Oryctolagus cuniculus: one gene and its partner. The protein of the gene in region 1 purifies or fractionates together with the protein of each later gene. This does not show direct contact. Links are inferred from orthologs where the notes say so. Each region holds a gene or a part of one and is shown in the gene's direction. Other genes may lie near its edges.

Region 1 (4,340 bases):
GCTTAAACTGTATCTTAAAGCTATTAAATACGCTTGTCATCATTTTCTGTATACTTATAGTTAATTAATGTTCTCTATAATTGATCACTAACTATACTTCCTGTGGTCTGAGTTTTATAAAGTATGGAATTATATATTCATGAACTCATGCTAATGAGTTAGGTCTTAGAGTGATGGTATTTTCTTCTTTCTTAAAGATTTTATTTATTTATTTGAAAGGCAGAGTTACAGAGAGCAGGAAAGAGAGAGGTCTTCCATCCACTTATTCATTTCCCAAACAGCCGCAATGGCTGGGGCTGGGCCAGGCCAGAGCCAGGAGCTTCTTCTAGGTCTCCTATGTGGGTGCAGGGGCTCTGGCACTTGGGCCATCTTGCGCTGCTTCCCAGGTGCATTCACAGGGAGCTGAATCAGAAGTGGAGCAGCTGGAAATCAAATCGGTGCTCATCTGGGATGCCGGCGCTGCAGGCTGGGGCTTAACTAGCTACTCCACAGTGCCAGCCTCTCTCTCTCTCTCTCTTTTTTTAAAGATATATTTATTTAGGGGCTAGCTCTGTGGCGTAGCAGGTAAAGCCACCGCCTGCTGTGCCAGCATCCCCTATGGGCGTCGGTTCAAGTCCCGGTTGCTTCATTTCCCATCCAGCTCTCTGCTGTGGCCTGGGAAAGCAGTGGAAGATGGTCCAAGTCCTTGTGCCCTTGCACCCGTGTGGGAAGGCCTGGAAGAAGCTCCTGGCTCCTGGCTTCGGAGCGGCGCAGCTCCGGCTGTTGCGGTCATCTGGGGAGTGAACCAGCGGATGGAAGACTTCTCTCTCTCTCTCTCTTCCTCATGAATGACACAAATCACTCGTCCCTTTTTTTTCCGGGGGGGGGGGGGGGGTGCTTCCCTAGGAATCTTAGTATTTGAGGAAACTCCACAATTCCCTCTACTGTAGCACATGTTTGCGTCTCAGCAACATAGCACACTTGCAGGCCCCGGCAATGCAGATCCACCCCGGTCTTTGGGGAAGAGCAATGAAAGTCAGCAGCGGTCTTGCCCGGGTCTTGCGTAGACCCAGCTTCAGCGCACCCAATACAAACCTGGAGAACGTCCTAGGCGAGGCCTTGTCCAATTCGGTGGCGTCTTACGTCTACTTTCACGAAACTTTCATTTTTGTTTTTTCACAGAGGTTGGGTTTTTCAATGAAGACAGAGGTGTCATTTAAAAGCGGGGGGGGGGGGGGAGGAGACTGGTGGTTTCTATGACAACCAAACGGGGGGAGCATATGAAAATTCAGCCAATCAGCGTTCGGGAATGCGTCCAAGCTTAGCCAATGAAACGAGCACGCCGTGCGTGAGGTCGCCCAATGGGGGCGCGAGCGGCGCGGTATTTGAATCCTGGAACTAGGAGACCTCGCCGACGATCCTCCGCGGTACGGGCTCGGAGTGCAGCTCCAACGGCGCCGCGGACGCCAGTGCCTGCCAGCTCCAGTCCGCCTGGGCCGGACTGGGCCTCTTGCCTCCCGCGTCCCTCATGGCGCTGCTCCGACGCCCGACGGTGAGTGGGCCCGGACCCCCTCGCCCCGGCCGGGGCTGCGGCCCCGCCGAGCCGCCTTCCCCCTTCCCCCTGGCCCTCGCTGCCTCTGGCTTTGCCTCTTCTGCTCCGAACCTCTTTGTCCCAGCCGCAGCTGCTGCTGCTTCCCCCGGGGCTCCCCGCGGACGGCGTCCCACCGTCCCCGCCCCCACCCGCTGCGGGGCGTGGGGAGGGGTAGGGAAAGGTTTGGGTCGTGGCACCTGTCAGGTGAGCCTCCCGCCCGCTGGCTGCCGCCCCCGGGTGCCCTTTGTCGTTAGCCCTCAGGGTTTCCTTCCCCTTTTCTCCGGACTCCCTCGCCGGCTTAGGGATCCGTGGTGGGGGTGGGGAGGAGGAGAACTGGACGAACCCCCTCCAGCCTGTGATCGCGCCAGAGAGCGTTCTTGGCCTTGTTCCCCGAAGTCCTCCAGGCTGAGTTTACTGATGTGGGGTTTGTCTCCTTAAAAAAAAAAAAAAAGGAATTTCTTCCATCATGTGATAGGTTATAGCTTGGACCGAGATGGCAGACTGAGGGAAGAGTCCGGGCCCGTTTGCTTGATCTGTGCAATAAACAAAGTGTTGTGTAGTGTTTTGAATATTTTTGCCCCTTGAGGCTGAAGTGTGCCCGCACCTACTTTTCCGTCGCTAAGAACTGGAGGACCGTGACACACCTGAGTTCCATCGTGCTGGCTGCAAGGCTAGTTAAAAGCTGCCAGTTTCCCCTTCCAGATGAATTTTTTTCACCACTTTAATAAGTATCTGCATTTATAAGTGTAAATATAGCAAACACATACCTAATTAAGTAGCAACAGCCATTTTATGCCAGCACTGAATTAAGTTTTCTTAGTACAAAAGGTATTGGCTTGACCGAAAGTGAAGGAGAGTTTCCAAGATGCGGGATTTTTTTCCCCTGTATTTATTATTTTTTAATTTATTGTTTAAAGATTTATTTATTTATTTGAAAGAGTTACAGAGAGGCAGAGGCAGTGAGAGAGAGGTCTTCCTTCCATTGGTTCATTTCCCAAATGGCTGCAACGGTCAGAGCTGGACCAGTCCGAAGCCAGGAGCCAGGAGCTTTTTCCGGGTCTCTCTCGCGGGTGCAGGGCCCAAGCACTTGGGCCATCTTACACTGCCTTCCCGGGCCGTGGCAGAGAGCTGGATAGGAAGTGGAGCAGCCGGCACTGTATGCGGCAGCCCCTTGTCCCACTCCAGGGCTGGTGCTGAGGTGTGCGTGTCCACACTCTCCACATAGGTCCACAGTGTCCCTCTAATTTGTGTGGAGTTTCCTCTGCCTTTTTTTCCCCTAACACTTCCCTGAGACTCACTCTCTCCCTTTTTTAAAACTATCTTCAAGTCTAGAGCAGTAATTTCCCTCCCTATTGCGCCATCTTAATCCCTGTCACCATCCAGATAGGTTTAAATTTAGTCACATTGCCAGGTTTCAACCCATAAGCATTACATTTTCAAACACTTTTTAAAATTGGCAGTTGATGCTGGAAAGATTGAACAGTGTGACTTTGGAGAATTGCAATTCTAGGTACTGAATAAGTCCACTCAGTGTTTAATTCATACCCTTTTGCGGAGCCAAATCCAACTAACAAGTCATTTTCTCTAATGTAACCTATCAAGTTATTTAGTGGTAAGATTCTTTCAATTCAAGGAAGGAGTTTGCCTTGGCCTCTCTGTCTTTGTATATCACTCAAGTCCTTGTTTGGGAGTTCTTTTAGGAGAGGGACCCCTAAATCTCAGGGATAGGATACTGTTTTGCTTATCACTTTGATAATAAGCTTTATGGTGTGCATTGCTCTTTTTAAATGAGGTTTTGTTTCTAATCACACTCTGTCTAAAGTAGGTAAAGATCAACTAGCAATTTTTGTTGCATATACTTTTCTTTTAAAGATTTTATTTATTTGAGATGTAGAGTTACAGATGGAGGGAGAAATAGAGAGAAAGGTCTTCCATCTGCTGGTTTACTCCCCAGTGGCCGCAATGGTTGGAGCTGCACTGATCAGAAGCCAGGAGTTTCCTCCTGGTCTCCCACATGGGTCCAGGGGCCCAAGGACTTGGGCCATCCTCCACTGCTTTCCCAGGCCATAGCAGGGAGCTGGACTGGAAGTGGAGCAGTCGGGACTAGAACCGCCACTGCTATGGGATGCTGATGCTGCAGGCGGAGGATTAACCTACGGTGCCACAGCGCCAGCCCCATGTTGCACATACTTTGAACGTCTCCTGAATCTCAGTGCTAAAACTGTTTAACCCAAGAACACCATTTCAAGCATCCTTACTTAAAAAGAGCCTCTGCTACGGCAGCCTCATTCTATAAAGCTGCATGTGTAAGGTCATGTCTGCAACAGCATTTCTTATTTCTAGATTTGCCGTAATAAAGCTACTCTAGTTTTTCAGTTTCTGAGTTTAGACCTTTTTAATTTTTCACTTTAATTGCACTTATAACCACTCTCTGTAGAAGTTTTTTTTTTTTTTTTAAATGTATTTATTTGAAGTGAGAGTTACAGAGGATAGGCTGAGAGAGCGAGCGAGAAAATCTTCTATCTGCTGGTTAACCCCCAAAATGGCTGCAACGGCCAGGACTGGGCCAGGCCAAAGCTAGGAGCCAGGAGATGCTTCTGGGTCTCACATGTAGGTGCAGGGACCCAAGGACTTGGGCCATCTTCTGCTGCTTTCCCAGGTGTGTTAGCAGGGAGCTGTATTGGAAGTGCAGCACCTGGAACTTGAATCGGCACCCATATGGGATGCTGGCACTGCAGGTGACACTTTTACCTGCTACGCCGCAATACCA
Region 2 (3,892 bases), on another chromosome or scaffold:
AAAGTGGCCTCTGGCCTTCTCTGCTCGCTTCTCCCAGCACGGAACCTCCCTGCTGTGCACGGGCAGGGACTTGGGTGGTTGGGCTCCGTGTTCCCAGCAGATGAGCTCCACAGGCGGAGCCCTGCATGTGGGCTGTATGAGCGGGGCCTGGCCTTCCTGCCATGTGGAGCTGGAAGGCTGAGAAGTGCCCAGAGCCTGCCCTCCTGGGCAGATGCCCTGTCCTTTGACTGGGAGCTGGGGGAGCCCCACTGGCCACACCTGTCGATAGAGCTGAGGGCTGGGGAGGGATCAGGTGCCACACAGTCTCTGTTCTTAGCAAGATTTGGTTGATTTTCTTGCATACGTGTTTGCTCACCCACTGTGTGCCCTCAGTGCCATGTCCAGAGACTGCGATGCCTGCTTTTGGGTCGTCTCTACCGCTTGTGCCTCTTGTGCGGAGAGGCCCCCGGGGCTTGCACACCATTATGACAAAGCCCTCACTGGCTGGGCCTTGGCACCACACTGAAGAAGAAAGGAGGAATATTTGGGACTCCAGGCTGTTGTGCCAGAGGGCCGTGTTACCATTTCCATCTCTGGGTCCCGGACAGGCTGTGCAGCTGGCAGGCAGCAGCTGGCTGTGCCAAGCTGGGGCCCGTCTGTGCGGGCATCTGACTTGAGCCTGCCTGGTTCTGGGCTCCCTCCTGAACTGCGAGACCCTCAGGTCCATGGCTCTGAGGTAGAGATGGGAATGCCTGTCCCATGCCCTTACTGGCCACTGTGCAGGGCCCTCTCAGCCTTGGTGTTGAAAGCAGAACATGCGGGGAGTGGGGGCAGCTATAGGAGCAGCTCTCTCTGGGGCCACAGGCCAGGTGCAGTTTGAGTGGACCCACTGCTCCACACTCAGCCTCTGTCTCTGCCCCTGCAGGCTTCCTGCGCTGGCCATGCCTGTGCCCACAGAAGGCACCCCGCCGCCCCTGAGCGGCACCCCTGTCCCAGTCCCGGCCTACTTCCGCCACGCAGAACCTGGCTTCTCCCTCAAGAGGCCCGGGGGGCTCAGCCGGAGCCTCCCGCCCCGACCCCCTGCCAAGGGCAGCATCCCCATCAGTCGCATCTTCCCTCCTCGGACCCCGGGCTGGCACCAGCCCCAGCCCCGGAGGGTGTCATTTCGGAGCGAGACCTCAGAGACCCTGCAGAGCCCTGGGTACGACCCGAGCCGGCCAGAATCCTTCTTCCAGCAGAACTTCCAGAGGCTCGGCCGCCTGGGCCATGGCTCCTACGGGGAGGTCTTCAAGGTGAGTGAGGGGTGGCCCCACCTGGGGACCCTTTGCCACCCTCCGCTCCCTGGCCCCATGGAGTCCCGGGCAGCCTGCCCCTCCCCAGCAGCCCCTGCGGGGTCGACAGCCCCTCCTGTGGGTTTGAGTTGGCTGTGTTCCCATCCCCTGGGGCAGGCCTTCCAAGAGCTGCCTCGTGCACACTGGCCCCTTGTCCAGGGCCTGGCATGCCCTGTGGCCGCTGCCATCTCCCTAGCCCTGGAGCCAGTGTGCTGGGGTCCTTGGCAAGTCTGCCTGGCCCCCGGAGCTGGCCCTGAGTGCTGTGTACCCCTGGCCACAACTTTGTTTCTTAAAAGATATTTTCCAGTCATTTATATTTCCTTTAAATGAGTAGCTTTCCCTTGCTTTTCCCAAGTACTGTGTGAAGTTGACTTTGTTAAGAAGTACAAACAGCGCAAGCGCCTGGATCAGCCACGCCCCGGAGGAAAGCACTTTTCACCCACTGAGCACACTGCCCGCTGTGTCCCGTAGCCAGCTTTTCTCCTGAACAATGCGCCCTAGAGCTCAGCCTGCCGCTTGCATGCTGGGTCTCGGCTTCACTGTTGTAGCATGCAGGGGTTCTAGAACACTTGCCAGCTGGCTGTCCCTGTGCACGGTAGCGTCTCAGTAGACCCTGCCTGTTGTCCCTCCACGTGGCCACGCCCCTCGTGGACCACCCCTACCTCACCTGTGCTACCACTTTGCTTCCAGGTGCGCTCCAAGGAGGATGGCCGGCTCTATGCAGTCAAGCGCTCCATGTCGCCGTTCCGGGGCCCCAAGGACCGGGCCCGCAAGCTGGCCGAGGTGGGCGGCCACGAGAAGGTGGGGCGGCACCCACGTTGTGTGCGGCTGGAGCAGGCCTGGGAGGAGGGTGGCATCTTGTACCTGCAGACGGAGCTGTGTGGGCCCAGTCTGCAGCAGCACTGTGAGGCCTGGGGTGCCAGCCTGCCCGAAGCCCAGGTCTGGGGCTACCTGCGGGACACCCTGCTCGCCCTGGCGCACCTGCATGGCCAAGGCCTGGTCCACCTTGATGTCAAGCCTGCCAACATCTTCCTGGGGCCCCGGGGCCGCTGCAAGCTGGGTGACTTTGGGCTGCTGGTGGAGCTGGGTGCAGTCGGGGCTGGCGAGGCCCAGGAGGGAGACCCCCGCTACATGGCCCCCGAGCTGCTGCAGGGCTCCTGTGGAACAGCCGCTGATGTTTTCAGGTGAGGGCTGGGCTGTGGTGGGCTGGTGGGGGGGGGCCTTCCTGGAGGAGATCAGGAGAGAGAAGGCCTCTCTGGGAGGGATGCCGCCTCCTGGGCAAGGTCAGGATCAGCCTCCGCTGGGAGGTGCTGCCCCAGTTCCCAGTCGGGGCGGCTTCCCAGACCAGGCCGCTTCTAGCGCGACTGTGCCCAGATCAGCCTCGTCCTTGCTGCTGCACACCAGGCACCTTTGCCATTTGCCTGGAGGGAGGGGTGCACCGTGAGCTGAGGGCCATGCCCCAAGCTTGCAGTTGGCAGGTCCCATGGGGCGATGGTAGCAGTCATGGGGCAGCCAGGGTGCTGTCAGAGTAGGTGGGGCACAGGGTGAACCTACCCCAGCAGTGTGTGGGCTGTGTTGAGTATGGGGTTCACACTCCACAGTGGAGTTCCTGTGCTGCTGGGCCCTCCCCAGCTCTTTCCCCACCTCCCTGGCTGATGGTGGGAGTCAGCTATCCGCTCCCACCAAGCAGAGGCAGCCTGGGACTGGGTCTGTGACTCGGGGCCAACCCTGCTTGTTTCTGTCCCCTCTTGCCCCTCCCAGTCTGGGTCTCACCATCCTGGAAGTGGCATGCAACATGGAGCTGCCCCATGGTGGGGAGGGCTGGCAGCAGCTGCGCCAGGGCTACCTGCCCCCTGAGTTCACTGCCGGTGAGTGCGGGCAGGGGCAGGCTGCCATGGAGAGGATGGTGGGCTCAGAGCCATCAGTGCTCTGGGACGCTGATGTGGCCCCACCCCATGGCAGGTCTGTCCCCCGAGCTCCGTTCTGTCCTTGTCATGATGCTGGAGCCTGACCCCCAGTTGCGGGCCACTGCTGAGGCCCTGCTGGCCCTGCCCATGCTGAGGCCACCACGGCCCTGGAGCGTCCTGTGGTTCCTGGCTGCCGAGGCCCTGAGCCGTGGGTGGGCCCTGTGGCAGGTAAGCACCCTCTATAGCCAGGTGGCCGTGCCTGCCCCCTGACCAGGGCCAGCACCTTCTGAGGCTTCTCTCCCCACACAGGCTCTGCTTGCCCTGCTGTGCTGGCTCTGGCATGGGCTAGCCCACCCTGCCAGCTGGCTGCAGCCCCCAGGCCCGCCAGCCACCCCTCCCGGCTCACCGCCCTGCAGCCTGCTCCTGGACGGCAGCCTCTCCAGCAGCTGGGACGAGGACAGTCTACGGTAGGTGAGGGCAGGGCACAGTGACCACTCCACGACCATGCCCTAGGAGGAGTGGTGAATGGAGAGCTCAACCAAGGCAGGAGGGTGTGAGCAGGCCTGGCACTCAGTGCCGTCCCTCTGCTCCCGCCCTGGCAGAGGCTGCCAGGGCCCAGGGATAAAGCCTTGTCCCTCCCCTGGGTAGAGGGAGCCCCTAAGGCCCGGCGAGCCC

What was found. Proteins that work in one complex are often made in the same cells at the same time.
Region 2: the proteins of CCNB2 (region 1) and PKMYT1 purify together in Homo sapiens (affinity purification with mass spectrometry; 4 studies listed by BioGRID and IntAct, with this or other methods). This does not show direct contact. The link is inferred for Oryctolagus cuniculus from reciprocal best matches to the Homo sapiens genes CCNB2 and PKMYT1.

Annotation. Positions count from the first base shown.
Region 1 is NC_091443.1:81,968,959-81,973,298, forward strand, and holds the start of CCNB2 (G2/mitotic-specific cyclin-B2), read left to right. Parts: upstream 1-1,335; 5' UTR 1,336-1,507; coding exon 1,508-1,531; intron 1,532-4,340. UniProt on the Homo sapiens protein: Essential for the control of the cell cycle at the G2/M (mitosis) transition.
Region 2 is NC_091450.1:32,464,584-32,468,475, forward strand, and holds part of PKMYT1 (membrane-associated tyrosine- and threonine-specific cdc2-inhibitory kinase), read left to right. Parts: intron 1-904; coding exon 905-1,271; intron 1,272-2,000; coding exon 2,001-2,494; intron 2,495-3,071; coding exon 3,072-3,178; intron 3,179-3,272; coding exon 3,273-3,445; intron 3,446-3,526; coding exon 3,527-3,684; intron 3,685-3,892. UniProt on the Homo sapiens protein: Acts as a negative regulator of entry into mitosis (G2 to M transition) by phosphorylation of the CDK1 kinase specifically when CDK1 is complexed to cyclins. Mediates phosphorylation of CDK1 predominantly on 'Thr-14'. Also involved in Golgi fragmentation.